Linked DNA regions of Tamandua tetradactyla. The protein of the gene in region 1 interacts with the protein of each later gene in a biochemical or structural test. Links are inferred from orthologs where the notes say so. Each region holds a gene or a part of one and is shown on either strand. Other genes may lie near its edges.

Region 1 (15,624 bases):
GAGAGAGACAGGTCTCATGTTGCTCCCTACTGAAGATCTAAAACCTTCTCCCTGTTGGGTCCCATGGCGCCATCCCCCACCCATCCTGGTTACAGCCGGTGTCCAAGCCGTGGGGGCCCCCAGCCCTGTGGCTGGAGCCAGGCGCCCGGACGCGAGACCCCAGTGAACAGGGCCTTTGGACGAGGCTCCTTCAGCCAAGGGGCCACTCAGCCGGTGGGGTCTTCACCCAGTTACCAGGGTCCTTTATAGACAGAGTGAAATTCAGAGAGATAGACAGACAGAGGGAGAGAGCGCGCAGGCCACGGGGAGCCCCAGCGCTGATCAGCAGCTAAACGGAAGGGAAGGCAGAGGCCGGGAGACACGCGGTGGACCTACCACGGGACCAGCAAGGCCAAGGCGCCCCGCAGCCCCACACGCCGGGCCACGACGCCAGACTTCGGGCTTCTCCAGTCGCAAGGCCATGAGCCAAAAGATTCCCATTGTGTTAGCCCACCCATCGCCTGGCGGCTGCTTGAGCAGTGAACGGAAACAGCTCTCCCGTCCCTGAGCAGTGGACGGGCGTTACACGGCCGCCTCGGCCTCCTGCTCCACAGCCCCAGGAACTATCTGACTTTTTCCTAACAGACAGCTGCTCGGCTAGCAGCTACAGGGGTTCAGGAGAACCAAACTCTGGCTTCCGTTAGTAAAAATCCATCTTTTCTCCTTTCTGGGAACTTCCGGCAGGTGGGAGGAGTATGGAGAGGCCATGCAGTAGAAAAGGAAGGATTTGGTCACTGGGGGATTTAGGCACGTCACTGTACCTCTCTGACCCTCAGTTTCCTCTTCTGTAAAATGGGAATATTAATAAATGAATTCCTTAGAGGATTAAATTAGGTGAAGTGCTGGACTCGTGGCAAGCCAGTAACAAGTGCTGAGTACTGTTCTTAGCACAAATAAAGGGACATGATGGATTGAGAATAACCTCATTATTCCTTCCTTGACATCCACTCACACATTAGCAGGTGTCGCGTCTCCACTGGCTTGGGAAGGGCTGTGAAGGACCCGTCCTCGCTAAGGAGCGGCCGAGGACCTCCAGCAGCCCACACCACAGACAGGCCTCCCGCTGCTGGCCAGCACGCCCCAGCTCCATGGCCCTCTTCGAAGCCCCCCGGCCTCCCTGAAGACCACAAGGCTCGTGGAACTAGTGGCCGCTGCCCTCTGGGATGGCTGGGACACAGCCGCCTGCGAACTCAGAAGCGCAAAGGAAAGCAGCCAGGGGCCAGGGGCCACTATTCGACTGGCCAGAGATTCCACACCCGGCACTGCCCCAGCTGGCAAAGACAGGGAGTTGGGTGCACCCACCCACTTGGCGAGCAGCTGTGGGTCTGCATGGCCGTGTCCAGAGGCACTGGGAAGTGTAGACCCCACAACTCAGAGACCTGCTGTGAGTGAACCCCTGGAGGGTCCCCCAGACAACCCCAAAGAGGCCTTCCTGGTTTGTAAAAGCGGGAAAATGGGAACATCCTGAATGCTCCCCCGCAGAGGGGGCTGGTGAAGGGGGAATACTGGGCGTCAGCTAAAAGGGAGGAAGCACCTGAACGTGTGAATGTGAGCTGATGTCCCAATTTTGGGAATTATATACCTGAATGTGGTGAGAAGGTGGCATATATGTGGCCAGAATAAAAATTATAAAACAAAACAACCACAGGACTGGACGACACCTACCCTGAGCCACAGCGTAAACCAGGGGCTGCAGTTAGTGGTACAACTATACCAACAGCCTCCCATCGGGGGTAGCGAAGGTACCACCCTCTGCAACATGCTGCAGGTGGGGCAGGAATGTGAGAACTCTGTATTTTCTTGCACAATCTTTCTGCAAACCCACAACTTCTCTAATTATAAAAACACACAGTAAAACATCACCACCTTACAAACTCCAGTGTGACATTCGCTGCAGCCAAGGATGACTGAGGTGCTCTAAAGCTGTCAAGGGAAAGGTTGTTGGGGGACAAGTCACTCACAATCCCCAAAGAGTCGCCCCACCGGTAGCGAAGGGGTCCGTGCTCCACTGACGGGACTCGGGTCACCCCGCAGCGAGAGGCCACGCGGAGCAGGGGTGGTCGCTGTGCCTCTGGGCGCGGCTCACTAGCCCGTGACGTCACCGTCCTTTCTCCAGGACTGTTGCACCCGAAGCCACCACGAGCCGTCGCCTTCGCGTTCGGTTTCCAGGAAATGGCCGAGAAAGGTCCCGGGGGCCACCGGTCAGGGGTCCTGGTGTGGGGCGGCTGTGAGACAGTGGCCAAGCTTCTGCAGGGTCGACGCCAAACAAACAAAACAAGAATAAAGAAAAGAAAAAGAGGGGCTTGTTCTAAAATGAAAAAAGAAAACAACCCACCACGACTCCAGGCCGTAATGGTCAAACCCGATGTGTGACCGTTTCCTTCACTCTGTTGGAAGAATCAGCCACAGAAGACTTCGTTAGACGGCGGGGGTGACGCTGTGAGCGCGGCCTGTGCAGGGGCCCGGCCTCCCCCCAGCTCGGGCCGCAGGGGCTCTCCAGGTTCTCTGCCGAAAGGCAGCGAGCCCAGCTCCAGGGGAACTTCACGCGAGCAGTTGTTGAATCCTTTCTTTTTAAAATCTTTAAGTTTTTCTCAAGCATAACAACATACGAACATGAACATTCTTACCACACGGTCATTCCTTCTTGGTGTATGATCGATAGCTCACAACCTCACCGTGTATTCATCCCCACATCACCTCTCAGAACATGGGCATGCTGACGCTTTTCTAAAACATGTTTTTATTGAGAAATCTTCACCCCCACACAGGGCACACTTGGTGTACGATCAGCGGCTCGCAATGTCGCCACGCAGTTGTGCATTCATCACCATGACCATTTTTTAGAACATGTGCATCACCCCGGAAAAGGAAATAAAAAGGAAAAAGAACTCACACGCCCCGTTCTCCTAGTTGTCAAATCTTGTTGGAAGTGCTGTGGGTGTGCATTGTAGTTTACTTTCGGTCTTACATTCACGTTTAGGGGCGTTTTAGTGTCCCAGCTGCTAACAAATACCACACGCGGGGTGGGCTTAACGTCAGGGGTTTCCCGGCTCACGGCCACTTCCCCCGAGGGCCTCCCACCCTGGACTCCTTGGGTTTCCATCATGCGACAACACCCCGGGTGCCCCTTTCTCTCCAGGCCCTGTCCAGCCTCTGCTGCCCCAGGGCTTCTCTTTTCTGAGCCCCATTTCCTTCACCTGGGGGCACCCCAGCCGGGGGTGGGGCCCAGTCAACCCCCAACGTGGGGGAGGTTAAAAATAAAAAAGGAACCTGCCCTTCCCCGGAAAGGCTGGGGCTTTCATTGAAAAGGAGCGCCGTTTGTCTAGGAAGCAAAGTTGGCTCAACTAATGGCCTCTAGTGTTTCTGAGAACTTTGTCCAAACCGGGGGATTTGCAGGAACGAAGGACATTCAGTGTAAGAGACGGAGCCAATGTGTGTAAATTGCAATAATGAAAATTGGGGCTTTCACTGCATTTCTAAGAAATACCCTTTTTTTGGACACTTTTGCTTTTGTCTTGCTCTGGCGGGTGGCGGGAGAAGTGTCCCCAGCGAGGTCCCAAGGGCCTGCGAGGGGCGGCGAGCGGCCCTGACAGAAACTCTCACTGCCCAGATGCCACATATAGAACAGGTTGAGGAACTTAGGAGAAGCCATTTCACAGCTGTCCCTGTTTAAATCTGAGCTGCTCACTGGCAAACACCGGCCAAAAGCCTCCCTCCCCAGGACGAGAAACCCCGCGTCAGTCAGAAGGTAAAACACGTGTGGTGAGCAGACAAAGGTCGAGAACAGTCGCTGCAGCGGGGCAGGGGGTGAGAACAGTCGCTGCAGCGGGCAGGGCTGCAGAAGGCTCTGCTGTCACCACTGTCTCTGCACTTTAAGAGCACGTTGAAACAGACAGACGATCGGCTGTGTGTGCCAGGAAAGAAAGGAAGAGGCTGAACACAGCGTTCAGTGCACAGAGGGCCATGGCTGTGTGAGAAAGGGGGTGGGGCAAGGCAAAGCAGATAATGCGGTTACTCAGGAAGGCTCCCAAATGCCTGGGCTTGCCGGACAGCGCGGGGACAAGCTCTGCCGATGGCCAGGGCCTCTGCGTAGGGACTGGGTAATCTCAGCTGGAGAGAAATGTACTTTTCCTTCTGTTCCCTTTTTTCATTTTTTTCTCACCACGAGCACATTTGTTTGGGCAGACGTACATATGCACAGGTGTCAGCTCCGAAAGCCTGGTGGTTTTATTCTGGGCCCCAGATTCCTGCTACCTTGACTGTGAGACGTAAACATGGAATCCTGACTCTTCCACCCGGGACGTGACCCTCAGGGGTGAAAGTTTCCCTGACAACGTGGGGCGGGACTCCCGAGGATGAGCCTGGCCCTGGCACCGTGGGATGGGCAACGCCTTCCTGACCCAAAGGGGGAAAGAAATGTAATAAACTAAGGCATCAGTGGCCAAAAGAAATAAAGTCGACTCGACAGGCTGCTCTGGAGGCTGCCGTCACGCAAGCCTCAGTTAGATAGTGCTGATTCCCATGTCAGCCAAACCCCAACCACCATCACTCCTGTTGACTCTTAAGAACACCTAGGGCTCGAACTGAGACTCTGTAGAGGTTTCATCTCTAGGTTTGCCTCCCTGAAACATATATTCCCAGAGGATTCTTGGATCAGATGACTCCTGAAACCCAGAGGGACCAGCCTCTCCAGAATTATCAATTAGTTCCATCCCCCTCTCCTTCAGTAGACATCCCTTCTCAACATGAAAAAGTCACAACAGACATTGCCCAAAGATCCCTGTAGATTGGGAGAAGGATCAGAGGAGACAAGAGGAGGTATAACAGAGAAAATGGGATTTAACAGATGGAGTATGGCTGCTGAATTACTATATTGATATTCCTTCCAGCCTCCAGGTTCTGGAGCAGCGAGAAGGAAAAACCTGAGATGGTGGAGTGGTAGCCCATGACAAACTCTGGGATCTGTTCTGTAACTACTTGTTGAAGTGTGCTTTGAAAAGTATTTCTTTCTTTACTTTGAGTTTATGTCATTTTTCACAATGAACAATGTTAAAAAATTAGGACCCCGGGTCCTCTGGAGAAAACCCAGAAAGGGCTGCAGAGTGAGGCTTGGGGGGCTCAGAACCCTCCCCTGCTCCGAGGGACCCCACGTGTGCAGGTCCAGGGGCTCACCGGGCCACCCCGCAGTGACACCCCCACATCGTGTGGCCCTTGGGGCTGGTGGGGGCTGGGGTGCTTCCTCCAGGTTATTCTGGGGGCTTGGCGTGGCCCCCCCCGGAGATGCAGCGACACCCCCACCCCCCGCCGAGGCCGCAGCTGGCTTCTGTCCAGTTCATTAATATCCAATATGGAGAGAAAGAGGTGGACATAGGATGAATGCACTTATGCCAAGTGCAGGCACCGTGCGTCTCTGGCAAGGGGCCGGAGGGGTGGCTACCTCCGGGTGGGGTGGGGCGCTTTCTACTGCCTGGAAGGGCCTGAGGGAGCCTTCTGGGGTGCACCTGGCTCGTCTGGGTCCCCAAGGCAGCAGCTCCGAGGGTGGAAGCACGCATGGGGTTTCACTGCATGTAAATTGCACCTCACATCAAAGAAAACGAAACAGTAGGTCAAGTTCCTAACCTCTAAGACAGGTTTGGACAGAAGGGTGACGAAGGAGCGCTGCCCTTCCATTCTCAGCCACCCCAAAAGTTGCGCTGGGTTTCAGGGAGCAGGGGAATCAGAGACATAACCAGGGCCTCACATCCACGGCCAGCTGGCCTCTGAGAAGGGCGCCAGTGCGGCCTCTTCATCAAAGGGTGCTGGGAACTGTGTCCGCACGAGAGAAGGGAGACACCCGTCCCGCAGCGCATTCAAAGGTTGACTCGGGGCGTCCTGCACTTTGGTTACAATCCTCACGGCTTTGGGACTCGAAATATTCATGAAAAAGCATGACCCATTCCGTGGGATCGCAGCCACACAACAATGCATGCTCAGCCGTGCGCGACACAGAAGGGGCTAGGAGGAGAGGCCTAGCTGTGAATTCGGAGGATTCTGGATGAGTTTTGCGTTCTTTCCTTCCTGTGCTTTTCTGATTTCTATACTGCACAATTAACTTTAAAAAAATTTTTTAAATGTTATTTTTCAAACCAAAATGAAAAGGAAAGAACTCAAAATGGATCAAAGACGTAAATATAAAAACCAAGACTATACAATTCCTGGAGGAAAACATCGGGAAGCATGTTCGAGACCACATGCAGGGCAGTGCTTTCCTAGAATTTATACCCAAAGTACAACCAACAAAACAAGAAATAGGGGGCGGGCCACGGTGGCTCCGCAGGTAAGAATGCTTGCCTGCCATGCCCAAGGACCCGGGTTCGATTCCCGGTGCCTGCCCATGTAAAAAAAAAAACAAACAAAAAATAGGTAAACGTGACTTCATCAATTAAAAACTTTTGAGGATCCAAGGACTTTATCAAAAAAGTAAAAAGGCAACCTACAGATTGAAGGAAAAATATTTGGCAACTATATGTATCTGATAAGGGCTTAATATCTAGAATATATAAAGAACTCTGACAACTCAAGAAAGACAAACAACCCAAATAAAATGGGCAAAAAATTTCCATAAAAATTTCTCCAAAGAAGATATATAAATGGCTAGTAAGCTCATGAGAAGATGCCTCACATCTTTAGCCATCAGAGAGATGCAAATAAAACCACAAGATAGCCTTTCATACCTACTAAAATGGTTACTTTAAAAAAAAAAGGAAAATGACAAGTGTGGGAGAGGATGTGGAGAGACAGGAACCCGAGGCACTGTTGCGGGGTGTAAAAGAGTGCAGCTTCCGTGGAAAACAGTTCGGTGGTTCCTCGGAAAGTCAAGTATCGAGTTCCATATGACCTGGCAATTCCGCTTCTAGGAGTGAACCCAAAAGAACTGAAAGCAGGGGCTCAAACAGGTATTTTCACACGGAAATCCACAGTGGCCTTCTTCGCAGTTGGAACCCACATGCCCCTCAACCGATGAACGGCTAAACAAAGGGCGGTGCAGATGTACAGCAGGATATTATTAGCTGTGAGAAGGAAGGAAGTTCTGATACATGGATGGACCTTTAAGGCATGTTGAGTGAAAAAACTCAGGTACAAAAGGACAAATAAGCAAATTCATAGAGGCCGAAATGATGATTCAAGTTACTAGTCACAGGGGCCGGGATGGGGAAAGGGGAGTTACGCTTGGCTGGCGTGGAGTTTTCTGTTTGGGGTGATGAAAGAGTTTTGATAATGGATGATAGTGATGGAGGCACAACTTTGTGAATTTAATTAACACCCCTGAATTGTATCATTGAACGTGGATAAAATGGGAAATTTTATGCTATTTGTTACCAGAATAAAAGCTTTAAAAACAAACAAGCAAAAAGAAATAACATCACGAGATTATTGCACAGCAGCTCTTTGTCAAAATGTGTCATGTCTGTGTAATTTAAATATAAATTAAATTTTGAGCCCCTCAAAACAATGTTTAATTCCCAGGTGGTGTTTAATTCTACTCCGCATAGAATTTAGAAGACAGTACTTTTTATGTGTCCACATCTTGTTACCTGAGGCCAGCGCATGGGCGAGAGGAGAGAGGGGCAGGCCACCCGCCCGCCCCCAGGGGGCACAGATGGATGATTTCTGCTTCCTTCTAGCTTTTGTGGGAAGGTTGCTAAGATTTGGAGAAAAGGAGCAGGTAGGGCAAATTGCCTTTACCTGTCGGATCGGCCTGTTTTGGCTGCAGAATAAAAATTGTACCTGGAAGTACGTGGGATGTGTTAGAGTAAGACTGGAGATTTCAGAGTTAAGAAGGTTACAACAGTGTAGTAAGAGCTTTCTGTCCTGGCTCTGTTTATTGGGAACTGACTCCAGGCCAAGGACTCATGCTAAGAACTTTATTGGGTTAACTCACTTCCTTCTCATCACCGTGAGGACAAGAAAATGGAGGCCCAGAGCGGGTAAGGAAACTGCCCTTGGCCACCAGCCGGTAAGCAGCAGAGCCAAGATTCAAACCCCGTCTGCCTGTCTCTGGGTTTGTCCTCTCCAGCGCTTTCATAGGGTTAGAGGCAGCCCAGAGAGTGGCACTGACCTTGGTGGGGGCAGTCAGGGAGGGCTTCCCAGAGGAGGTGACCCCTCCACCTAGCCTGGAAGAAGGAGGAGGAGGAGGCGACGAAGCAGACATGGGGAAGGGTTGAGTTCAGGACAGAGTTTACTCTACATCCCAGGCATGAGCAGGGCCTTGGCTCCCTGCTTGCACATAGTAGGTGCTCAGGCGCAGATGGGGTGGGATTCCAGGGGCACCGTGGGAGGGGGCGGAAGGAGCCCCAGCTGGGCTGCTCTGGGCCTGGTAGCGCAGGCGCGGGGCAGGCGGGGGCTGCTGATTTACATCTCATGGGTGGGGGAAAACCCAGACAGGGCTACCGAGGCACCAGCCACCCCACGGCCAGACCCGCGTCCCGAGGGATGAGCCTCGCCGCGCGCTGTGAGTACCTGGGTGGGTGCGGGCAGCCTGACCCTACCCCGGCCCTGCCTGCTGGGAGCCCAGACCCTGGGAGCCGGGGCGGGGGGGGGGAGCAGGCAGTCCAGGGAAGGGGGTCGAGGCCGGACTGGACGTGGCCCTTCTCAACGCTTCATTTTAAAGCTGCAGCTGCAAAGAGCCAGCAGGGAGCGGGAAAGAAGCCCGCAGACGCCCCCAGCTTCTGTAATGGCCTGTGTCCAGCCAGCTGTCCATCACCGGGCCCCCCATTCCCCTCTCGTCGCCCCGGCATTACTTTAAAGCTAACGAACAGCGCGTCATTTGGTGAGGGTTTACTCAGGGTGTGTCTCCCAAACACAAGGGCCCAAAAAACCGGACTCACCGTCGTGCCACCCACTTTCCTTCATGCCGCTAGACGCCGGGCAGCTCCCGGGCGGTCCTGGCTGCCTTATAAATCTAGTCCCGCTCATTCACTGAAACGGGGGTCTGCATAGAGCCCACCTTTGGTTACTTTTTTTTTTCTTCAGATCCTTTATAAAAACAACAACAACAAAACGTTGGTAAAATTTGTCATAAATTTCTATGTGTCTTCAAATGTCCCATTTTGACCACCTTCAAGTGTGCGATTCGGTCGCATTAATTTCAAGCACAGCATCGTGCTTTCGTTTTAGTTGGAGACAGTTCCCGCTCCTTTTTTTGTATTTTGCCTTGCTCCTTCTCTGGTGAAGAAACTGGGTCCCATGGAATTTTTTCAGGGCGGGCTGTATGGGCTGATTTGAAGATGCAATTTTGCTGGGAGTGTAAGTAACTAACACGGGCTGTGCCCAAGGCCCGGGGCTGGTGGGGCCTGGGGCTGCCCAGCACAGCCTCCAGCTGCTCTCGGCCACCCTCTCTCCCCCACCTCGGGAGGCACGTGTCCCTTCGCTGACCCCCTGTGTGTCCAGCGGCCGTGCCCCCACACATTTCTGAGAGCTGGACAGGGTAGCGAGTAGGGATGGCTCGGCTGGCACCATAGGGCAGGGACCAGCCCAGGGCCACGCTGGTGGGGGCGAAGCCACGTGTGCAGGATGGTCAGCCGCGACTCCCGGCAGGGCCCAGGGGACCTGCTTTGCGCTCCCCTGCTCGCAGACCCACCCTGGGGCCTGGAACAAGCTCCCTCCCCTGCTGGGCCTCCACTTCCTCCACCTTAAAATGAAGGGCCTCTGGCCTGCCAGAGGGTCCCCCAACCAGAAAGGGCTTGGTACCTGCCAAAGCACCCCTTGAAGAGTCACAAGCAAAGGCTTTGAGAAGGCCTGCAGTCAAAAAAAAAAAAGGCCTTGATTCTCTTCAGCGCAGCACTTTTCAGCCTAAGCTGGCAGGGGAGCTGTTTTTGTGGGTCACTGTGACGAAGCCCAGGCAGTTTGGGGAAACGGGGCAGCTCCTTTGAGACCCGGCCCTTGCCTCTTGGCTCCTCTCTGCTCTCTGTGGCCCCGGAGACTCTCCGCTGCTTCATCCTGGCTGGACCCTGGGGCCCAGCCCAGCCCCCAGCCCCGGCGAGTGGAAGCGCGTTCTCCCCTGGCCCCTTTACCTCTCCCGGGCTTCTTTCTCCAGCCTCTCCCCAGCTGGGCCCTCTTTGGGGGTGGATGATGGTTCTGGGGTTTTCGGGGTTTAGGTGGTGGTAGAGAGGAAGCAGGGACGACCTTCCCGCCCACAGCCGCCCCGGGCTGTGTGTGTGTGTGTGTGTGTGTGTGTGTGTGTGCATGCGCGTGCATGTGCATGCGTGTGTGTGTGCATGCATGTGTGTGCACGTGTGTGTGTCAGAGAGAGTGAGACGCCCTCCCTGCCACTCCCCCTTCAGGTGGGAGGGGAGCAGGGTCTCTTTCACTTTATCCATTCCTGGTGATTTTTTTGAGGGGCATTTATTCATTAAAAAAAAAAATTTTTTGTATGCTGTATGACAGGGTCACATTTCATTCTTTTTCCATGTGAATAATCCGTTATTGCGGCACCATTTGTTGACTTTTTATTTGTTTTTTCTTTGTTTCGGTTGTTTGTTTTTGGGGGAAGTGCATAGACCGGTAATCGAACCCGGGTCCCTCACATGGCAGGTGAGAGCTCCGCCACTGAACCACCCTTACACCCCCTCATTTATTCAGTTTTAAACATTATTTATTGTGAGATCTAGCATATACACAGGAAAAGCAATGCATTTTAAAGTACATTTCAACAAGCGGTTATACAACAGATTTCTAAGTGTAGTATGGGTTGCAGTTCCACAATTTCAGGTTTTCCCTTCTAGCTCCTCCTGGTGATTTCTAAACAGGTGGCATACCACGTGATTTGAAAACCAGAAAGTATAGGAAGAATACAGAAAAAACTCCTCCTTTCTTTTTGTTCCCCATCCCCAGTTCCTGCCTCCCCTGACGGCTTTATTGGGATATAATTTCACCCCATGAAGTTCTCCTGCTTAAGGTGTGTGGCTAAATGCTTTCAGTGCAGTGACAGAGGTGAACTGCCACTCACCATAATTCAGTTTTAGGGCATTTTTATCCCCCACCCCCCACCCTGAGGAAATACCAGTCTCCTTTCCGTCTCTGCAGTTTTGCCAGTTCTGGGCATTTCATATAAGTGGAACCTACAATACCTGGTGCTTTGTGGCTGCTTCTTTCACTAAGCATAATGTTTTCCAGGTACATCCAGGTTACAGAAAATATCAGTACGTCATTCCTTTCTGTGACCAAATAAGCTTCACTGTGTGGTTAGAACACATTTTCTTTATCCATTATCTGTTAATGGACACGGTGAGTTGTTGCCACTTCTGGGCTCTTGTGGACAATGCTTCCGTGAGCATTGGTGTCCAGGTTTTGTGTGGCCCACGTTTTCCTTTCTCCTGGGTAAACAGAGACCCAAGTGGAATTGTTGGTTCCTGTGGCAACTGTGTTTAACATTTTGAGAAACTGCCAAATGTTTTTCAAAGGGGCTGCACCGTTTTATAATCCCAAAAGCTACATATGAGGGTTCCAGTTTCTCCACATCCTCACCAACACTCGTTGTCCATCTTTCTCATCAGCGCCATCCTAATGGACGTGAGGTGGTTTTGATTGGTATTTCCCTAACGACTAATGAGGTTGAGCATCGTTTAGTGTGTTTATTAGCCATTCACATATTTCTATTCAAAGCCTTCCCCCACTTTTACATTGGGTTATTTGTCCTTTTATTATTGAGTTTTAAGTGCTCTTTCTATACCCTTATCAGCTACTTGATTTGCAAATTGCTTTCTTGATGGTGTCCTTTGAAACACAAAACGTTTAAATTTTCATAAAATACAATTTATCAATCTTTCTTTTTACTGTTTGTGCATTTGGTGTCATTAACCCCAAATCACAGAGATTCACTCCTGTGTTTTCTTATAAGAGTTCTGCAGTTTTAGCTCTAACATTTAGGTCTTCGATCATTTTGGGTTGATTTTTGTGTGTGCCGTGGAGTTAAGTGCCCAGCATCGGTCTTTCGCATGTGGAAATCCAGTTATGGGCACTCGGCATTGTTTACTGACAGGACTGTTCCTTTCTCCATTGACTTGTTTTGGCACCTGGTAGAAAATCAGTGGCCATAAATGGACTCTCCAAGCTCTTAACTCTACTCCCTTGTCTGTATTTCTGTCCTTACGCCGGCACCACACTGCCCTGAGTGCCACAGCTTTGCAGTAAGTTTTGAAAGCAGGAAGTGTGAGTTCTCCAACTTTGTTCTTTTTCAAGATTGTTTTGGCTATTTTTGGTTGTCTTGCATTTTCAAGTGAATTTTAGGAACAACTTGTTAAATTGCAAACAAGCCAGCTGAGATTTTGATTGGGATTGTGTTGAATTTGTGGTTAGATCACCTCAAGTAGTATTGCCATTTTAACAACAGTAAGTCTTCCAATCCACGTCTCTCCACTTATTTGGCTCTTCTTTAATTTCTTCCGTCAGTGTTTTGTAGTTTTCAATGTGCGAGCCGTGCCCTTCTTGTATTTTGTTTAGACCACTGTTTTGGTTTCCTGTGTTTCATTACAGGGTTTCTTCATGCAAATGCCAACAATTAAAAATAAAGATTTTATAACGTCCCTCCTTCTTTGCAAAAAACAGAGCCCATGCATGCCTTGTTCTTGTTTTCCGTTTAATATGGTTGCATTTGTCTCCATAGCTGTGTGTGAAGAACTGGCTCATTCCTTCTTTTTATAGCTGCATAATAACCTAATGTGTGAGTATACTACACTTCACTCAGTTGGGTTGCTCCCAATCTTTTGCTGTTAAATACGTTGCTCCAGTGAATTTCTCATTTTGCCCTCCTGGCTAAATCCCTCGACTTTCTGGTTTGCTTGTTTTATGTGGTCTGTTTTGTCAGCCTTTTCTTTTATGGCTTCGGATTTGGGGTCATAGCTGGAAAGACCTTCATGCTCCAGCCTTATAAAGAAACTATTGAATGGTTCCTCTAGAACTTTCACAATTCTCCTTCCCACGTAAATCTTTGTGCTGTTTTTTATCTAAGAGAAATTATTCTGTATGCTTGTTTCTGGCTAATACACCTTGTCTGTCCCAACAGTCCTTCCTCCTAAGTTTCTAAAGCAGAGGCCAGGATTTTTGCTCCCCCTCTGATGTCCCCCCCCACTCGCACCCCCGAGCCAAGGTGCCCAGGATTAACTTCCACCTGAGGGGGGGCAGGCTGAGCGGGGCACAAGGAAAGTCACCTGTTACCTGTTTTTGGTACAAGGCAGGAAGGTGGGGGGCCTTTTCATTCACCAAGCCTTCACGGGGCATGTCTGTGTGCAAGGTGGCGGACCACTCACAAGCATTTAATCGGCACTGGCAGTATACCCGGTGCTCTGAAGGCACTGCCTTCTGGGGTAAGGCTCTGCAAGGAGGAGGTGTGGCTGCAGCCTATGGTGTCACATTACAGATCAAGGAGCAACCCAGGGAGCGAGTGCTTGGGGCTCGTGACCAGCGAGGCAGGCCCCGAGGAGGGGCCCCCGAGACGCCCCCGGGACAGGTGTCCTTGGAGAATGGCGACTTCAGCCCTAGCTCAGGTCCTGGGAGCACTTCCCAGCTGGCGCTCTAAGTTGGTGCTATGCCACTATGAATAGTTATTAATGCCATGATCATCATGTGTCAGTATAAAGTGACTGTTCGTAATCCATCACGTGCTCTATTGTTTCCATCAGAGCCGCGACTCTCTTTGTCAGCCTTGCGTCCCATCCGTGCTGGGCCTCCACACCCTTGAGGGGCTGGCGAGGGAAAGCTTACGATGCCTGTTGTACAGATGAGGGGCCTCAGGTGGGCAGCTCTGAGCCTTCCCCCAGGCAACCCGGGTGGCCCCAGCGCTGGGCCTCCCACCATGAGCCCTGGGTGCTCCCATGTGCTCCCACCGCACGGCTGCCGGCAGGTCTCCACATGGCGGGAAGGCAGCAGGGAACCGAGGCAGCCGCTGGCGGGCTCCCTCAGGACTTCATTAAGTCCTTGATGTGCATCCTGCGTGGGTGGGGTCACAGCCCCGCACAGCTCTCAGAGTGAGTCTGGGTCCCCCGTTCTGAGGGTTTTCTTTTCACTTTTTGATAAGCGTCCTTCGATGCACAAAAGTTTTGAATTCTGATGAGGTCTATTTTATCCCTTCTTGTCTTTTGCCAATCGTGCTTTAGGTATCACCTAAGGAGCCAGTGACAAAATGATGAGGATTTACCTCTGTGTTTTCCTATAAGAGTTTTCGATTCAGCTCTTATATGTAGGTCGTGATTCGTTTTGAATTATTATTATTTTTGTATATGGTGTGAGGTAGGGGTTCAATTTCATTCTGTTGATTGTTAAGGCCCAGTTTTCCCAGTGCAGAGACTATCCTTTCCCCATCTAACGGTTTTGGCACCTTGTCAAAAACAAATTGGCCGTAGATGAATGGAATTATTTCCGGACTCCCAATGATTCCACTGGTCTGCTCTCTCATCCTCTGCCAGCACCACCCTGTTCTTTGTTCTGTTTTGTTTTACTTTAGTAATTCATTAATTGGCGAAGCAGTTAATGACATTTTCTAGTACGAACAATATTTACGATAACCGTTGACTTGAGATACCCATGCTTTGCATCAAATTTAGATGTTTGTTGAAAATCCCTGCATCAGAGAATGTATTCATTTTAGAATGTCATTCCTGAGGCGAAATTTCAGCATTACAATATTAATGCACATATGTGTGATTATTTCAGTGGACATAAAACATCTTTTGATGGATGCTCAGCTATTAGGTCAGGAGATGTGATGGTCAGTACTGCTAATGAAAGACTGGAGGTAGGGAAGAGGGAAAGGGTCACGTGAGGTGGGACAGAAACGTGCAGTGGATGTGAACACATGGGAAATTATTCTCCTGAAACCCTGGGAAGTGACTGAATACCGTAAAATTAGTCTGTTGCACGTTATAGCAAGATATTTAAAACAAAATTCTCGTCTCCAGCAACTCCAATTAATGTGCAGCCTGCCAGGCAGTTTTGACCGCTGCGCCTTCGCAGTAAGTTTTGAAATCATGAACTACGCGTCCTCTAGTTTTGTTTTTCTTTTTCAGTATTGTTTTGGCCACTGGGAGCCTCTGACCATTTCATATGAGTTTGACAATCAGCATTTCCATTTGAAAAAAAAAAAAACAGGCCATTGGAATTTGATAAGGGTTGCATCGAATCTGTAGATTGCTTTGGGTAACATCATCAACAATATTGTACCACCCAACCCATGAACACAGGATGTCTCTTCATTCATTTGGATCCCCTATCATTCTTTCAGGAATGTGTCATAGTTTTCAGTGTATGGGTCCTTCATTTGGTTCAATTTGTTCCTGGGTGTTTCATTCTTTTGGATGTGATTGTAAATGGAATTGATTGTTCAATGTGCTTTTTGTATTGTTCATCGATGGTGCACAGAAAAACAACTTATTTTTTAATATTGAACTTGTATTCTGCCATTTTTGCAGAATTTGTTTATTAGCTTTGGTAGTTTTTTTGTGGATTTTTGAAGATTTTCTATGTTTTGGATCATGTCATCTGCAAATAGAGATAGTTTTACTTCTTCCTCTCCCCTTTGGGTGCCTTTTATTTCTTTTTCTTGCCTAATTG
Region 2 (15,551 bases), on another chromosome or scaffold:
GTCAAAACCTTGTGAGTTACACCTGAGCCAGAAATTTCAATGGCACAGTCTTCTCAGACATCCCAGCTTTCCTTGTCAAGGATTTGGTCTATAAATTTCAACAAAGACTCAAAAATAGTATTGATGCTTTCATTGTTAAACATTTAGAAGGTTTATCGCTGGAAAATACGTGAGTTACAATATCAGGAGTTAGTTTATGTGCCCTGTATTCAAAATTCTGATTAAAAAGGAAATGTTAAATGCATGTGAGATCCTGGATGGATCTGGAACATGAAAAGGACTTCAGTGGAAATACGAATAAAATCTGGAATTTCATTGAAAGTAATGTCTTAATGGTGGTTTCTGAGTTGTGACAAAGGTATCTGTATGAGGGATAATGGGATCTCTGTATTATCTTTGCAGCATTTCTGTGGTTCTAAACTAATACCAAAATTTTTAAAAAAAGTATTTTAAAATGGAGAAAAATAAATGAGATTGGTCAAAATCTTACAATAATTATTTGGAAGATAAAATATGAGCAATTTTTTTCACTTCTGCTTTTATATTTCTTTGAATTGTTGATGTTTTCACCCTTATTTTGCTATAGAAGTTGAGACATGAATACTAAAATTATTCATATTAATATAAGGTAAGTTTTGTCTTTCTATAAACTATAAAACATGGATTCTAAAAGCTTAAAATTTCCCTATTGAGTAGCAAGGGGAAGCTACAAAAGATCACATGATTTTATTGATAAAATATTTTAGCTCAATAGAAATCCATTTGAAAGAATTAACTTTATTGATATACTAATGATGCCTATCTTTAGGTTCATAAAATGAATAGAATAATATTTAAGTGAGTGTTCGAAAATACATCATAAGTTTATTTGTAAAGGAATTTTTATATGTAAAACTGTCTTTAAAAGGCATATTACCTAAGTTATTAAAAATAACTTGGGAATATCTTTAAAGACACTTAGGAGTTAAAAGTGAATTTTTATCTAATATGGACTGTTTGGCAGTTCTTTGATCCTGGTTTTCCCCACATTTCTGTTTGTAATACTATTATCAGAATGAAGTTATGAAATACATCAAGTGTCCTAGCATTTTAATTTGAACCACAAAATTATTCAGAAAAAGTGAACTGGAGCCAAAGTGCTAAATTTAAAATTAAATAAAAGCAGCGCTTACCCTTGGTAAGACTTGAAGGGTTGACCATCATGTGTCCCTTCATTTACTGTTCAGTTTGTAAATACGCAGTGAACCATAGATTTAAGCCATGTGCACTTTTCAAAATAGGAATAGCACTTCAATTAAAATTTAAAACTTTAAATAAAACCAGAAATCCATGGAATTGTAGGTAAAGAAGTTTCTGTATATGGGATTTTCTATATGACATTTCAGGTGTCCAAATTATGCCTCTACCTGTCGAACAAAGGGAGCCAGAAGGAAGGTACCCTACAAGTGACTCATTTCTCCCCCAAACTCTTCCATCTCCCTGCACCCCCTACCTGATGGTCCAGCTCACCTTTTTTTTAAAAAAAATTCTTTTATTGTAAACAACAAACACACGTACAAACGTTCTTGAAATGGTTACAATCAAGTGCTCACAATATTATCACATAGTTGTATATTCATTACCATGATCATTTTCTTGAGCATTTGCATCTCTCCAGCAAAAGAAATAAGAGAAAAGAAAACACTCATACATGCCATACCCCTTACCCCTCCCTCTCATTGATCACTAGTATTTCAAGCTACTCAATTTATTTTAACCTTTGTTCCTCCTATTATTTGTTTATTTCTTATCCATATTTTTTAGTCATCTATCCATACTATAGCTAAAAGGAGCATCAGACACAAGGTTTTCACAATCACACAGTCACACTGCAAAACCTATATTATTATACAATCATCTTCAAGAAACATGGCTACTGGAACACAGCTCTACAGCTTCAGGTACTTCCCTCTAGCCACTCTAATACACCATACACTAAAAAGGAGATATCTATATAATGCGTAAGAACAACCTCCAGGACAACCTCTCGACTCTCAGCCACTGATACTTTATTTTGTCACACTTTTAATTAGTTGTTTTAAATGTCACCTTAAAATATTTCATAGGATAGCCTCTGATCAAAACTGGAAAACGAAGAAATAAGGGAAAATCCAAAATAAAAATGATGTTAGATCATCCCACAAATCATTCTATTTTGCTTCAAATTGAGTCTGAAACTGATCAATAAACATTTGTAGAATGCTTAGTGAATGCCTGTTTCAGGAGAGAAATAACAGAAAAAGAATTAGGACCCAGACCACAGGAATTCTCTACTATGTAATTAATTGTACAGACTGGACATCTACAGATGAAGAGGTCGCCTTCCTTAGTGGTATGTAATAGGTGCAATAAAAGAGAGAAGTGTTTGCTGTGTGCTAGGAGGTCAGGAAAAGGTTTTCTGTCTTAACATGCTAGAATTCAAATACAAATTTAATTTACCCAAGATAAAATTGAGATTTGGGTTGAATTTGCAGGGTTGAAAAAGTAACATTCTGCTTTATTTAGCTATGTAAATTGTTGACATAATTATAAACTGATACCATTATTTATAGAAACCAGAGAATTTTAGGGAAAAAAAAGTCTAGGACAATACTATGATTCTGTTAAGTATAAAGCCATTAAATAAGTTGGCATGGCTTTAAAATACACATAAGGTAACATATTATATCATTTATTTAAAGTTTTATAAATTTTTTAATAATTTTTTAAGCTACTTGAAAATGCTAAGACTCCGTAATAGCAACCAAAGTCAAAATACTTTTTAAATGAGTTTAATGAAAGAACAGGGAAACCTATAAAAAGAAATCTGAACAATTTTTTGGGAAATTTAAAATTAGATTTTAATAAAGATATTACTTAACATATTTCTGAATATATAAACTACATAGTGTAAAAATTCATTTCTTTCTTCAGTTATTTATAGTTTTCATTAAAAAAAACCAATGACCTTAAAACATATATGGAAAAATGACCACATAAGAACATAAAAGAACATTTTGAAGGTAATAGCAACCACCCAAGTTTTTTGTGTCTTTGAGAATAAATAAGGATTTGAATGGATACAAAAATAAAAGAAAAACATTTAGAAATTTCCCAATTTCAAAAAAGACACTAATAAGCAGGGAAAAAAATCATTGAGTTTCAGACAAAATTCTTGTGTATTTACTTCTAAATATACTTTAGAAGTATATTACTTCTAAAGAAGCAGAAAATTTTCTCCCACAAAGGAGAGTATCATTCAAGTCATTTTCACTGATAAGGAATGACAGGTAACACCTATTAATACTTTGAATGTATGAATATTCCTGTATTGATTTCATTTAAAAATCACCATTATAAATGTATATACATGTGTGTTAACAATAGAAGAAAGGCTTTGTAAAAAACCTAAGGAAAACCATGAAAATGACAATAGTGGTTGTAACTGGGCTCTGGAAGTTAGAGTGTTTTGTTTTTTCATTTTGTTAAAGCTTTCTGGCATTGTCCAAACTTTTTACAAATTGCTAATTATTGGGGGAAAATTTTGCATCAGCATACAACTGTTATATGCCATAATGCACAAATACATAAAAATATATAAATTTGTTAGAATGAAACAAAAATATTAGTAGAGGATTTGGAGGAAAAGGGACTCTGGGAGTTTTGTTTTCTTACTCTACTATTTTTTTCTTATTAAATCTGCCATGATAAGCCTTATATCATCTTTAGAATGTAATATTTAGAGGTAGGAGGATAGTATCAGATAAGGTTGAAGAAGACCTAGGAATCCTGACTACGAGATACTGGAGCCCATTATAACACAAATTACTTCAAATAGTTCATTTAATGCAAATAAATAGAAGAGTAAATCAATGAAACAAAAACAGAGAGTCTGTAAATAGATTTGACTATTTTGAGGAACTTAAAAAAACACAGTAAGCTTTCCTAACACAAAAGGAGTTAAAAATTATTTAATAAATTTGGTTGAGCTATTTAGCAACAGTTTAGGAAGGAAAAAAAAAGAAGAAATGAAGAACTTAAAACAAGCATGTCAAGATACATCACAATAGGCACCAGAAGGGTTAATGAGTTAAAATCTAAACTAAAATACTAAATTATAAGAAATTCAAAGTAGCAGAAAGTAGAATAGACTACTTAAGAGATCCTGAAAGAATATTCTTTCAGCTTTGATGTATTAGAAAAATAAAAGGAAAATATTATTACATTAAAGTATAGACATATAAAATCTCTGTATAATTTTTAAAGCAGCAAAATATTATGAAAACTTTGATAAAATTAATACATCTAATATATAGTTTATTCCAAATTATAAATAATTAGGACGACAAATGGTAGAAGTTATAGATAAAAATTAACATGATAAAATTAGAAGTAAAATATGGAGAAAGAAGTTCATTTTTATTTGCAAACAAACAGCAAATTAAAATAAAATTGAGATACTATTTCACTGTTACTAATCTAGCCAAAATAGATTTTAAAAGCTAAAATGCTTGTAAGACTATAGAGAAACAGACACACCACCTTGCTTGTTAAATATATTTATACTCATTCTGAAAGCAACATAGCAGTATATAACAAGGGTCATAAGGATTTCCATTTTATTTAATTCAGAAATTCCACTATACAGAATTTGTATAAAGCAGTTAATGACTCAGAAACAAAAAAGATCACTGTAAAATTTTAGCAAGATTGTACTGTATTGTAGCAAAAAATGGAAATAATTGTGTTGAAAATAGTAGAATAGCAGATTAATGTACATGTATGAGAATTACTTAGAAATAGGGTAAATACAGATTGTATAATAAGAAAAAACAAAAATATAAAATAATAGATATGCAGCACTATTTTTAATTATTGTAGAAAACAGATGAAAATAACTGATATATTAAAGCAGTAATATTATGCCTGTTTCCTGGTTTAAAAATTATTAAGTCTAAGTGTTTCTGATAATTGGCATAAAGATATGAAAATCAGATAACAAAGTTATGGTTTTATAAAATAGGGGAGAAGGTTTTTCATAAATAAGGTATATAGTTGAAAAATAAATGGATTTGTAGGCCAAGCACTTTGTGTGTGTGTATACACATGTGCGTGTGGATTATAGAAAAGCACCTACCCTACCACTGAATAGGTCTCACATCTTTTCTCAGAAGAGAAAATATGAAATATTATGGTGCTCAAAAATGCTCTTTCAATATAAAAGGAAGATAGTATCAAGGATTTGTGGACAACATCCTAGATTATAATATTAATAAATACAAAACAAATACTGTTCTTCATCTGTGAAATGAAGGAACTAGAATTGATTATTTTGATAATCCCTATCATCTCTAAAATTTTATGAATTTATGAAATTCTGTGGAATAAGTGGAACATGACGAAAAACAGAAATCATGAAAAAACTATTAGAAGATTATAAACGTATGGAATTCCTGGAAAGCCATAACTAAAAAAAAAAACTTGAAAATCAATGGGTGTGCATGCGCATTCACAAGCCTGCATATGTGTGCAAAGCATAGCCTCCCACTCTAGGATCTTCATTTGGTTTCACAAAATTCACCCTTGGGAAACACTTGTCTTTAATGACTTTCTATGACCCATGTAGACAAAGTCTAATTCTGTAGTGAGATGAAGTGAACTCATTGGAGGCCAAAACATGCTGTGGAGCCCATTGAATTTATCACTGCCACTGCTAGGGTTTTGCTAAAAAGCCAAGTCTGATTTTGATGGTAAATTTCATAGTCTCTATTTAAGAGGTTTCAAGAGATTATTTCACCTCTATTCCCCTAAAGTTGCTGCTATTTTCTAAACCTGTGAACACTGTAATCCTTTGATACTGAATGCTAAATTCTGAATGCTCTTGTCCCCCAAACTTACCTGTGTCTTCTGGACTCTGAATACCACGTTTACTCCTGCTACTCTGACTGGAGTTACTTTCTCCAGGAACTGGTGGTGCAAGGATCCCCTGTTGGCAGAAAAATCCCAAGTTATTGAAAAGACAGCTGGCATGGGGGAGAAGCAGCAGGTTAGGAAGGATTGTATCTGGAACTGCAGCTGCCCATAACTCACTTCAAGTCCCGTGGTGAAAGCTGGAGTTTCCGGTAAAGCTGCCGTGGGGGCTCCAGCTTCTGCCTTAGGAGAGACTGGCAGCTGCTCAGCTTGGTAATATCGCAGTTCCGCCCGGAGGCTCTCCAGCTCTGCTTGCAGGGTGGCCACTCTGTAGAAAGACACCACTGTGAGGGAGAGGGACAGCAGCGTCAGAAGCAAGGTCACTGACAGGAGCTTTCCATCTTTGGAGAACCAGGCAGAGGAGCTTTTCTTCTGGGGGCGAATAGACACCAACTCCTTAAGTTTCATTTCTTCTCTTTTCTTAAGGCAAGAAGAAAGTCGTAACTGCTCCTTTTCTGTGGAGTCAACCATTTCACTACTTGAACTTTGAAGGTTAGGGCCTTTAAAATAAGTGACCACAAGGAATGGATCATTTCCTGTTATCTGTGTTTGTTGATGTCCTACATTTAACACATCACAGAGCTTGGCTCTCTCTGTCAGGAGAGATCTCCTGAATTTTCTTATTTCTTCCCTTCTGCATCCCTGCCCCTCTGTACAATAGGTTTTACTGGCATTCGCCCTTCTATTGGATTGCTCAATCAGTCTTCCTCATTTCACTTTCAGTTTTTGTAAGAATTTTAATGGCATCTCAAAACAATCATATACAAATTCGCCCCTTAAATCCACTGACTAAACTTTGAATTTTGATTAGCATGTGCAAGAGATAGCTTTAAGATAATGTAGATGGTTAAGAGCTCACCCTTAGGCATTATTAGAGAACAGTGTCTAGTTGAGGCCAAATGACTTTGTAGGGAAGTGGAACGAGAACATAAAATGTTCCTGCTGGTGTAATAAAAATAATTAATGTGAAGGTCAGATAAGCTAAGTGCCTTAGCATTGACTTGTCCTCAGTTGCAGCTGTGATTTATTAACAGTTATCAAGTATGAAATTTTAAAAAGGAATCCTCAAAGGAGGAATGGAAGTCAGCTGGGTGTTATTATTTTAACAACGTATTAAAAAGAAAGTGACTAAATTTTAGAGACAAGTTTAGATTAGGTATGAGGAAGGCTATTGGGGGCGAATGCATTTCTAAAGGAAATGTACACAACCTTTTTTCCTGTTCAGACTCATTGGATAGGTAATCAACCCCTCCTGATGAGTCTGTTTCCTGTCTTTCCTGATTTGGCTTCTGAAGCCTCAAATTCCAACTCATCCTGCTACCATGTTGAGGAGAAGCTGGCCTTATTTCCACGCCTCATGGAACACATCAAGTGTTCTTACCCTCAGGTAGTTTACCTACTAGCCACACATATTAGTTTGACTGCCAAAACTGAAGATTATGGAACCTGTCCTGACTCAAATAAGAGCTAGTTCTGTTTCAAGAGCTCTTTATTGTTGCTGCCCAGACTATTCCACCCATTTTAATCCTACCTGTCTTTGACCACTGACTCTTAGCCACATCCTGGGCTCTGGCTGCTTTGCAACCAGCCCAGCAACAAAATATTGATTTACCAATCAACAAATATTACTGAGTGCTTGCCAAGCCCTGAGCTAGGCTGTAAAGACCCAGGGCCCAGGTTCTGCCTCCACCTCTATTTTGACAGCAAGTCACATAGCCACCCATATGACCTAAACAGACCTTAAAGGTCAAAGGATGTCTGACCCCTCCCCTAATATAATCTCAGGAGCATCTGCTGAAACTCCATTGTAACCAAATCTTGCAAGACTGTTAAACTTCATAAGCCATTCCTGGGCACCCCTCTCTCTCTTTTTCTCTCTTGACTTTGGGCAGAGTGCAGACTCTCAATTCCCCACCATTTGCCATTGGGGAAGATCTTCCTCCTGTCTGTAAGTTCCTAATTAAACTCAGAGCTGAAACATTTGTTGAGTCAACCAGGAGACTAAAGAGCTGCCAGCCATAGAAAGTATGAGTCTGGGGAAGGGGGGATCTGTGGGGTTAATCCCAAAGTGGACTGCTTCTTTAGTCATTCACTTGCTTGACTGTGTTGCAGTCAGTTGATCATCATATGCAGTGTGGCCAGCTACGGCAGGCTGTCTTGGGGAAGTCAGAGAAATCCACAGGTCTGTGGGGGCCATGGCAATGGACTGGAGAAATCAGCAGATTGAGATGATGCATTGAATGCAATTCATTGAATGTCTTGTAGATAAGAGTTAGAAATATTAGCATCTTGGCATGCTAGAGTAAGGGGGCATATCCTGACTTCCCCTGACTGGGATACCATAGATTGTTTATCTGATAATGAAAAGGAGGAAAAAGAAGAAATTTGGGAGGCAAAGGGTGGAGTGACTCCACCTTTGTATGCTGTGTTTCCAAAGTTTGCCTCATACTTACAAGGAATTAGGACTTAATTCTTTAGTATTCCCTTAAGTAAGGTCAGTCAATCCATTTTCATCTTCACCTGGGAAGGAGAACAAAGGAATGTCATTGTAGTCCCACATGGCTATTCACATAGCCTGGCCATCTGCCATGAGCTCTTAGCAAAAGGATTTGGCTAAATGGAAAAATGTAACTCTATTTCATTATATTGATAATGTGATGATGTCATGTTAACCAGTAATTCTTTTCCAGAATTAAAATAAAAGCCTTATTGTTATTTCATCTTAACAGTTAGAGATGGACAATTGATCATGGTATTCTGCAATGCCTTGGCTGCCTGTAAAATCTTGAGTATTGTACAACTGGAAAAGGCAAAATTTATTCCTTTAGTAGTAATTGATGAGGTACAATGTTTTCATATGCTGCATATGCCAAAACAACTAGTGGCTTCCTTGGGATTATTGGAATATTGGAAACCTTTCTTCCTCACTCAGCACAAAAGTTAAAACCCGTATTTGTTTTGATTAGGAAAAGCTATCCTTGGGAATGAGACACCTCCCAGCACTTTTGAAAAAGTCAGATGAGCCGTCAGACTGGCTCAGACTTTGTGTGGAGTGGACACAGATATGCCTTGTGAATCAGAAATGGCTACTACTAATATTAGCTTTGGGTGGGACTTATAGCAAAGGTAACAGGCAAAGTGAGTTAAAGAACTGAACTGTGGTCCTGTCCCTTAAGAAAACAACTGTGTGCTGCCTATAATGCCTTCTGTAAATTGAAGGATCAACTCAGAAATGTCCTGTGAAATAAAGAAGAGCCATCCTCATATAGGGGTGGATACGGAACACTCTCACTAAGTTTCACTCTAGCAGTGTACAGTTGAGCACGCTAATGAAATGAAAAGCCTATCTGCTACAGCACAGCATTCTCAACAAAAGCATCTTAAGTGCAGAAATGCATATCCTGAGACTAGTTCGTTTCTTATGTGGAAGAACAACACTTGCCTCTCCCTGCTGATCCTCCTGAAGTGGCTGTCTCTATGACCACCATTGATGGATATGGCAGTATTCCTAAATCTAATGGATCAGCACAAAGGCGGTCTGCTGCCTGGAGGGAGTAGCTGTGCAACCTAGTATGGATACCATATGGAGGGAAGCTGGGACTATGAAAAACAGCCAGTGGCTGAATTAAGGGCTGTATGAATAGTCATTGTTCACAAGCCAGGAGATGCATGAACTATCTGTGCTGACAATTGGGCAGTGTATCAGGGCCTGACAGTGAGGACAGCCACATGGTAGCAAGAGCACTGGCCTGTCGTCTGCCATCCCTTATAGGGAAAAGAAATGTGGGAAGATATTTGGAGTACTTGCCATAAGGGAAAAGTACTGTGTTTTATGTCTCTGCCGATAACACTGATTCTTTACCTGGCAATATTGAAGCAGACAGTTTAGCAAAAATTTGTAGCCTAAAGCCAACATCGCACAAGGCTGTTGAATGGTTGCATAGAAAGAGTGGACACCAAAGGTACTAGACTCTGTGGAGACTGGCACAGCAATTCCAGCTGCCCATCTTTAGACAACAACAGAAAGAAGTGGTAGATGCCTGCCCCTCCTCTTCGCTGTGATGCCCAAAGTTGCTTCTTCATCATCTCCACCACATTAGCCACAGGAGGGTTCCAGTTACCAGGTGGCAGGTAAATCAGATTGGGCCCCTTTCTTTAACTGAAGGTTCAAAATATGTCTTCATAGACATAGATACAGCCCCTGGACTGTTGGCCTCACCAGTAGGGAAATCTAAGCAAAGAGTGACAATATATAGCTTTAGAAAATTTAGAAAAGCTCAGTGCATTATTTGGGGTCCCTCACACATGTGGACAGTGATGGGGGACTCCCGTTCCTGGTCAACTAACCCAAGCCTGAGTACTGAGCATGACATCTTATGGACATTTCATTCGCTTTACAATCCCACAGTAGCAGGGTTAATTGAAAGGATGATGGGTTTTTTAAAGAGCAATTAAAAGATGATAGGCAATCTCTGCAGCAGAGGACATGCAGGTTGTATCCGGTCTTCACCAGCCTCAAATATGGCCCTGAGCAGCTGCTCCCACTCCTATTGTATTGGTAATGGAGGAGCCCATGCAGGTGCTGCAAATTTAGATAGAAGAACCAGAAGTACTACAGCCACAATGAGGCAATGAACATAACTTGCTCTTGCCTGTGCCACAAGCATTAGAAATTGGGGAAAATAAGTTGATTGGCCATGGACCTGGTCAGTGCAGTCATGTTGGTTGGGAGTCCTATGTCCCTGGGGTTCAGGGCTTGCCCAAAATATAAGTATTAGAGCACAGTTTATACACAAAATGTCAACAGTTGTACATGTAACCAACCCAGGACCCCTCATGCCCCAAAGCACAGTATGTATGACTCTGTGGATATTTATTATGCCTAGGCTAACTGTGAATTTGACTCTAAAAAGCTCCCTGCAATTGCAAGGAGAAATGGTGTGGTATTTGTCTACTAATGGAAATTTAGCTGTATTCTTTTGGTACTTAATGTCGTAGCAAATACCTCTCTGCAAAAGGCTTCTGCAGTGACCTACATGCACAGTAGACCTCAATGCTGAGTGTGCACTGAACTGCCACTGTTAGGTGCCACCGGCCTGCCATGGACTGTGACCCCTGGGAACTAGACTGTGTAGATACCCTGCTGGCCTGGCAGAATTCAGCACATCAGAAAAATCTGAAGAGAATTTTCTCATTTAGGATGAAACCACAGATAATTTCATTAATTGTCAGTAAAATGACTTAATTCCCTTTCTTAGCCATGTTGGCCTCAGTTCATGGAGTCATCTCTGTGGAGGGAACTCCTTATATTCTATTGCCTTATACTGTCAATGAACGCAATGTCTGTACCTTGGTCAAAGTGGTCAGCTGCGTGGAGATGGACTGTAAGGGCTCAGGGCCCGGGCCTCACCCCCTCCTCCATTTTGTGAGAAAGTCACACAGCTACCTGTATGACCTGGACAGCCTTTAAAGGTCACAGATTGTCAAACCCCCCTCTCGTAACAATCAAACCTCACTAAGAGTCTGCTGAAACTCCATTGTAACCAAATCTCATGAGACTGTTAAACCTTATAAATTGCGCCCTTCTTTCTCTTGTTTCTCTTTTGGCTTTGGGCACACTGCAGACTTTCATCTCCCAACCAGCTGCCTTTGAGGAAGAGCTTCCTCCTGTCCATAAGCCCCTACTCAAACTCTGTCTAGCGTGTCCTTTGGTCTCAGGGCTGGGCTGGACTGGAACAGAGGCAGTACTCCCCAGACAACTGGACATTAACTGTATCTCATCTCTATGTTTCTAAGCAACTGTAAGAAAAGACACTTACAGAAGTAGTACAAGGAGAAGATAAGGACTCTTCGGTCAGGCCTCCAGGGTTCAAATCCTGGCTCTACCACTTAATTGCCTTAAGCAAATTTCTTAACCTTTCTGTGATTCATTTTCCCCACCTGTAAAATAAGACAATAATAGTAACTATCTTTCAGAATTGTAGGGAGGCTTGTATCACAATATTTGTAAAGTACTTATGACAAGGCCTTTACAATATTAGAAATTAATCACATTATTGTTCTATAATTGGAATTCCCTTTTTCAGGGTTATGTTTCTGAAATTTACCCATAGTTCTAGTGCATTCATTTAAAACTGTCTATTTCATTCTATTGTAGGTGGGAACTACATTTAATATGCTTCCATCTTTTCATTATTACAAGCAATGCTGCAATAGACATTTTTGTTCATGTCTCTTTGTAACATCTACAAGGGTTTCCAAAGTAAACACCTGAACTAGAGTGGACACATCTTTACCTTTCCTGGGTGTCAGCAAATTACTTTCCAATGAGTACCTATTTCCTTATCTTACTGTCACATGATGTGGTCAGGTAATTGTTTTTGCTTAACTATTGAGATTTTTTTTTTCCTTTGCTTCTGCAAGCTCAAGAGAGCTTACTTTATGACAGAATAATACTTTGGCACCCCAAATAAGCTGCTCTCTGCTTGCTCATGAACAAGTATGTGTGCAAACTCTTTTGGATCAGATATCACATAATGCCATTCTTTCTCCTTGTTTCCAGGTCAATCAAGGTGGTGCATACCGGACAATTTTGTGATAAAAAATAACTGTGTGGGGTTTTATTAAACTCTTCTGGTGAAAGTAGTTAAGATTCATTCAAGTCATATATATTTAAAGATATTAATATTACCTAAATGCATATAGAGCTAAAACTAGAAAGGTATTCAGGATTTTAGGCTAGAAACCAAGTACTCTCTACTTCTCACTTATGACCAACTGGAGTCACTGGTTTGCTTGTTTTGTGTACATCAATATTCTTTCTCTTTTGACTGACCAATCCTCTTCATATTCTCTAGGAAAAAACCTAAAAGAACAGGGAACTAATTTGATCGTAATGGGAATCACCTCTGCCTGCACTTCTCTATTGAGCAGAAATCTTCATACCAGACCATCTCTAGAGTCACTAGCCAAACTATATTCAGGGACCTTAATAATAAATACCTTATGTAGAATGGAATGATATCTTAATGTTTTGTTTGTTAATTTTTTTTAATTAATAAAAAAAGTTTAAAAATAAATAAATAAATACCTATTTTTGGCTCAAATAGTGGACAGTCCTATGTATAGAATAGGCTTGTGCTTCTTCCACTGAAAGGCAACTGTGGGGCTTCACCTACATGGCTTCACCCTGACATGAAAAGCAGGCACAGCGATTTGCATGTCCTCTGCAGGGATTATAAAGTTTAAATTTATTGGGTGCACAGGTGGTTCAGTGATAGAACGCTCGCCTTTCATGTGGGAGACCTGGATTCGATTCCTGGACCATGCAACCCCCCCAAAAAAAATTTTCTCTTAAGACAAGTAGATATGAAGTGGCATTCATGCCCTCTTGAATTTCTTATTCAAGGGAAACAAAAGAAAGTTATTACTCCATAAATCAAGAAACTGTTTCCTGCAGGAGAAATGGTTTGGCAATAATTTAACTGAAATTCTGTTAAATAATTAGCATATTCATTTTCACTGAATAACCACACTATGGGTTTATTCTCAGGAAAAAAGCAGTTATACCTGAGCCACAGAGACTAGAGTGAAATTTATATATATTCAATTTTTACTGTCAGTATTTAATTACTATCAGTAATTGATAGTTATTTATTTATGTTTTTTACATGGGCAGGCACCGGGAATCGAACCCGGGTCCTCTGGCATGGCCGGCGAGCATTCCTGCCTGCTGAGTCATGTGGCCCAATAATTTATAGTTTTTTAAATGTATTTCTTTTTCTCAACTCAAATGTAAAACATTCTGTTGTAATACATGAATACCAAATTTACAGAGATACAATGTTTCTTGAGATTGATAAAATTGTCCCATACACTCATAAGTAGAAAGATAAGATAATGTGAGGATATGCTTGAATATAAATTAGAAGTTTATTCGACGGACAAAATTGTAGTACAAAACAAACATTCCCTGTTTGACAACTTTCTTCTTACAATGACAACTTCAAAAAATATTCAAAAACTTAATTAACAAGTCCTGGCTAATTAGTACTATGAAGGATTAGCAGGTTTGGGGGAACACTCCTATATGTCTTTCTTTGAGGAAAGAGATGTTTTTCTTAAGGATTTGAACCACTCAAATATGGAAACATAGTTTTTCTATATATGGGGATGTACCTTAAGTATATCTAGGTAAAACTGCCATTCCAAAGTGTTCAGAGCATGGAAAATATTTTAATGCACATAATTATTACATATAAGAAAAATTATGTTGTTTTCTGGAAAGAATATGTTCTAGTTTGCTAGCTGCCAGAATGCAATATACCAGAAACGGAATGGCTTTTAAAAAGGGAACTTAATAAGTTGCTAGTTTATCGTTCTAAGGCCAAAAAAAGTCCCAATTAAACGAGTCTATAGAAATGTCCAAATCACAGGTATCCAGGGAAAGATACCTTAATTCAAGAAGGCTGATGAAGTTCAGAGTTTCTCTCTCAAGTGAGAAGGCACATGGTGAACACAGTCAGGGTTTCTCTCTCAGCTGGAAGGGCACATGGTGAGCATGGCATCATCGGCTAGCTTTCTCTCCTGGCTTCCTGTTTCATGAAGCTCCCCGGGAGACATTTTCCTTCTTCATCTCCAAAGGTCACTGACTGTGGACTCTGCTTCGTGGTGCTGCAGCATTCTCTGCTCTCTCCGAATCGCCTTCATTCTCCAAAATGAAGAACTTTTTACTTTTATAGGACTCCAGATACTTATCAAGACCAACCCAACTGGGTGGAGGCATGTCGTCACCTAATCCAGTTTAACAACTGCTCTTGATTAAATCACATCTCCAGAGAGATGATCTGATTACAGTTTCAAACATGCAGTATTGAATAGGGATTATTCTATCTTTATGAAATGTGATTTAGATTAAAACATGGTTTTTCTAGGGGACATACATCCTTTGAAACCAGCACAGAATACATATGTGCTCAGTTGCTAATATAGTAAAACTTGATTTGGAAAGCTAAAGGCTAAAATCTCTGCATAATTTAATTGTTGAAGCAAGTATATGTTATTAAAAACACAACTCTGGTGTTTTCTTATGCACAAAAATAATCTAGGTGACTAATGATACTGATTTATACTTCTTAATGGTTATACTAAAAAGATGAGTATGTATGCATTTACTGGGGCTTAATTGCTTTTACTGTTGAAAGAAAAGCTTTTGTAATAGTTACAACCCAAGGGATGCATATTTCAGTTTCATGTGTAAACACATCACTAATTTGTTGTTTAACTGCTTTCAGATTTAATGCTCTGGAATCAAAAGGTTACAGCATGTGTTTTTAAGGAATTTTTGTCTATGTCAATAGTAGTTTCAAATGTAGTTAAGTTTTTTGCTGTTCTTTACAATGTTTACAAGAACAAAATGTCATTAATATCAATATCAATATGAATCACTCATTTTGATATTTCATATACATGAATGAATTTTTATATTTTATGCCCACGAACACAAAGAATACACACTGACATACTGGTGTACACGAACAATACTTGCTCAGATTAAACAAGCT

Evidence for each region.
Region 2: the proteins of TNFRSF13B (region 1) and TNFSF13B form a complex in vitro, tested with the Homo sapiens proteins (3 studies listed by BioGRID and IntAct, with this or other methods). The link is inferred for Tamandua tetradactyla from reciprocal best matches to the Homo sapiens genes TNFRSF13B and TNFSF13B.

Annotation. Positions count from the first base shown.
Region 1 is NC_135332.1:519,975-535,598, reverse strand, and holds the start of TNFRSF13B (tumor necrosis factor receptor superfamily member 13B), read left to right. Parts: upstream 1-8,474; 5' UTR 8,475-8,511; coding exon 8,512-8,530; intron 8,531-15,624. UniProt on the Homo sapiens protein: Receptor for TNFSF13/APRIL and TNFSF13B/TALL1/BAFF/BLYS that binds both ligands with similar high affinity. Mediates calcineurin-dependent activation of NF-AT, as well as activation of NF-kappa-B and AP-1.
Region 2 is NC_135330.1:177,860,297-177,875,847, reverse strand, and holds the start of TNFSF13B (tumor necrosis factor ligand superfamily member 13B), read right to left. Parts: upstream 6,659-15,551; 5' UTR 6,460-6,658; coding exon 6,109-6,459; intron 6,005-6,108; coding exon 5,917-6,004; intron 1-5,916. UniProt on the Homo sapiens protein: Cytokine that binds to TNFRSF13B/TACI and TNFRSF17/BCMA. TNFSF13/APRIL binds to the same 2 receptors. Together, they form a 2 ligands -2 receptors pathway involved in the stimulation of B- and T-cell function and the regulation of humoral immunity.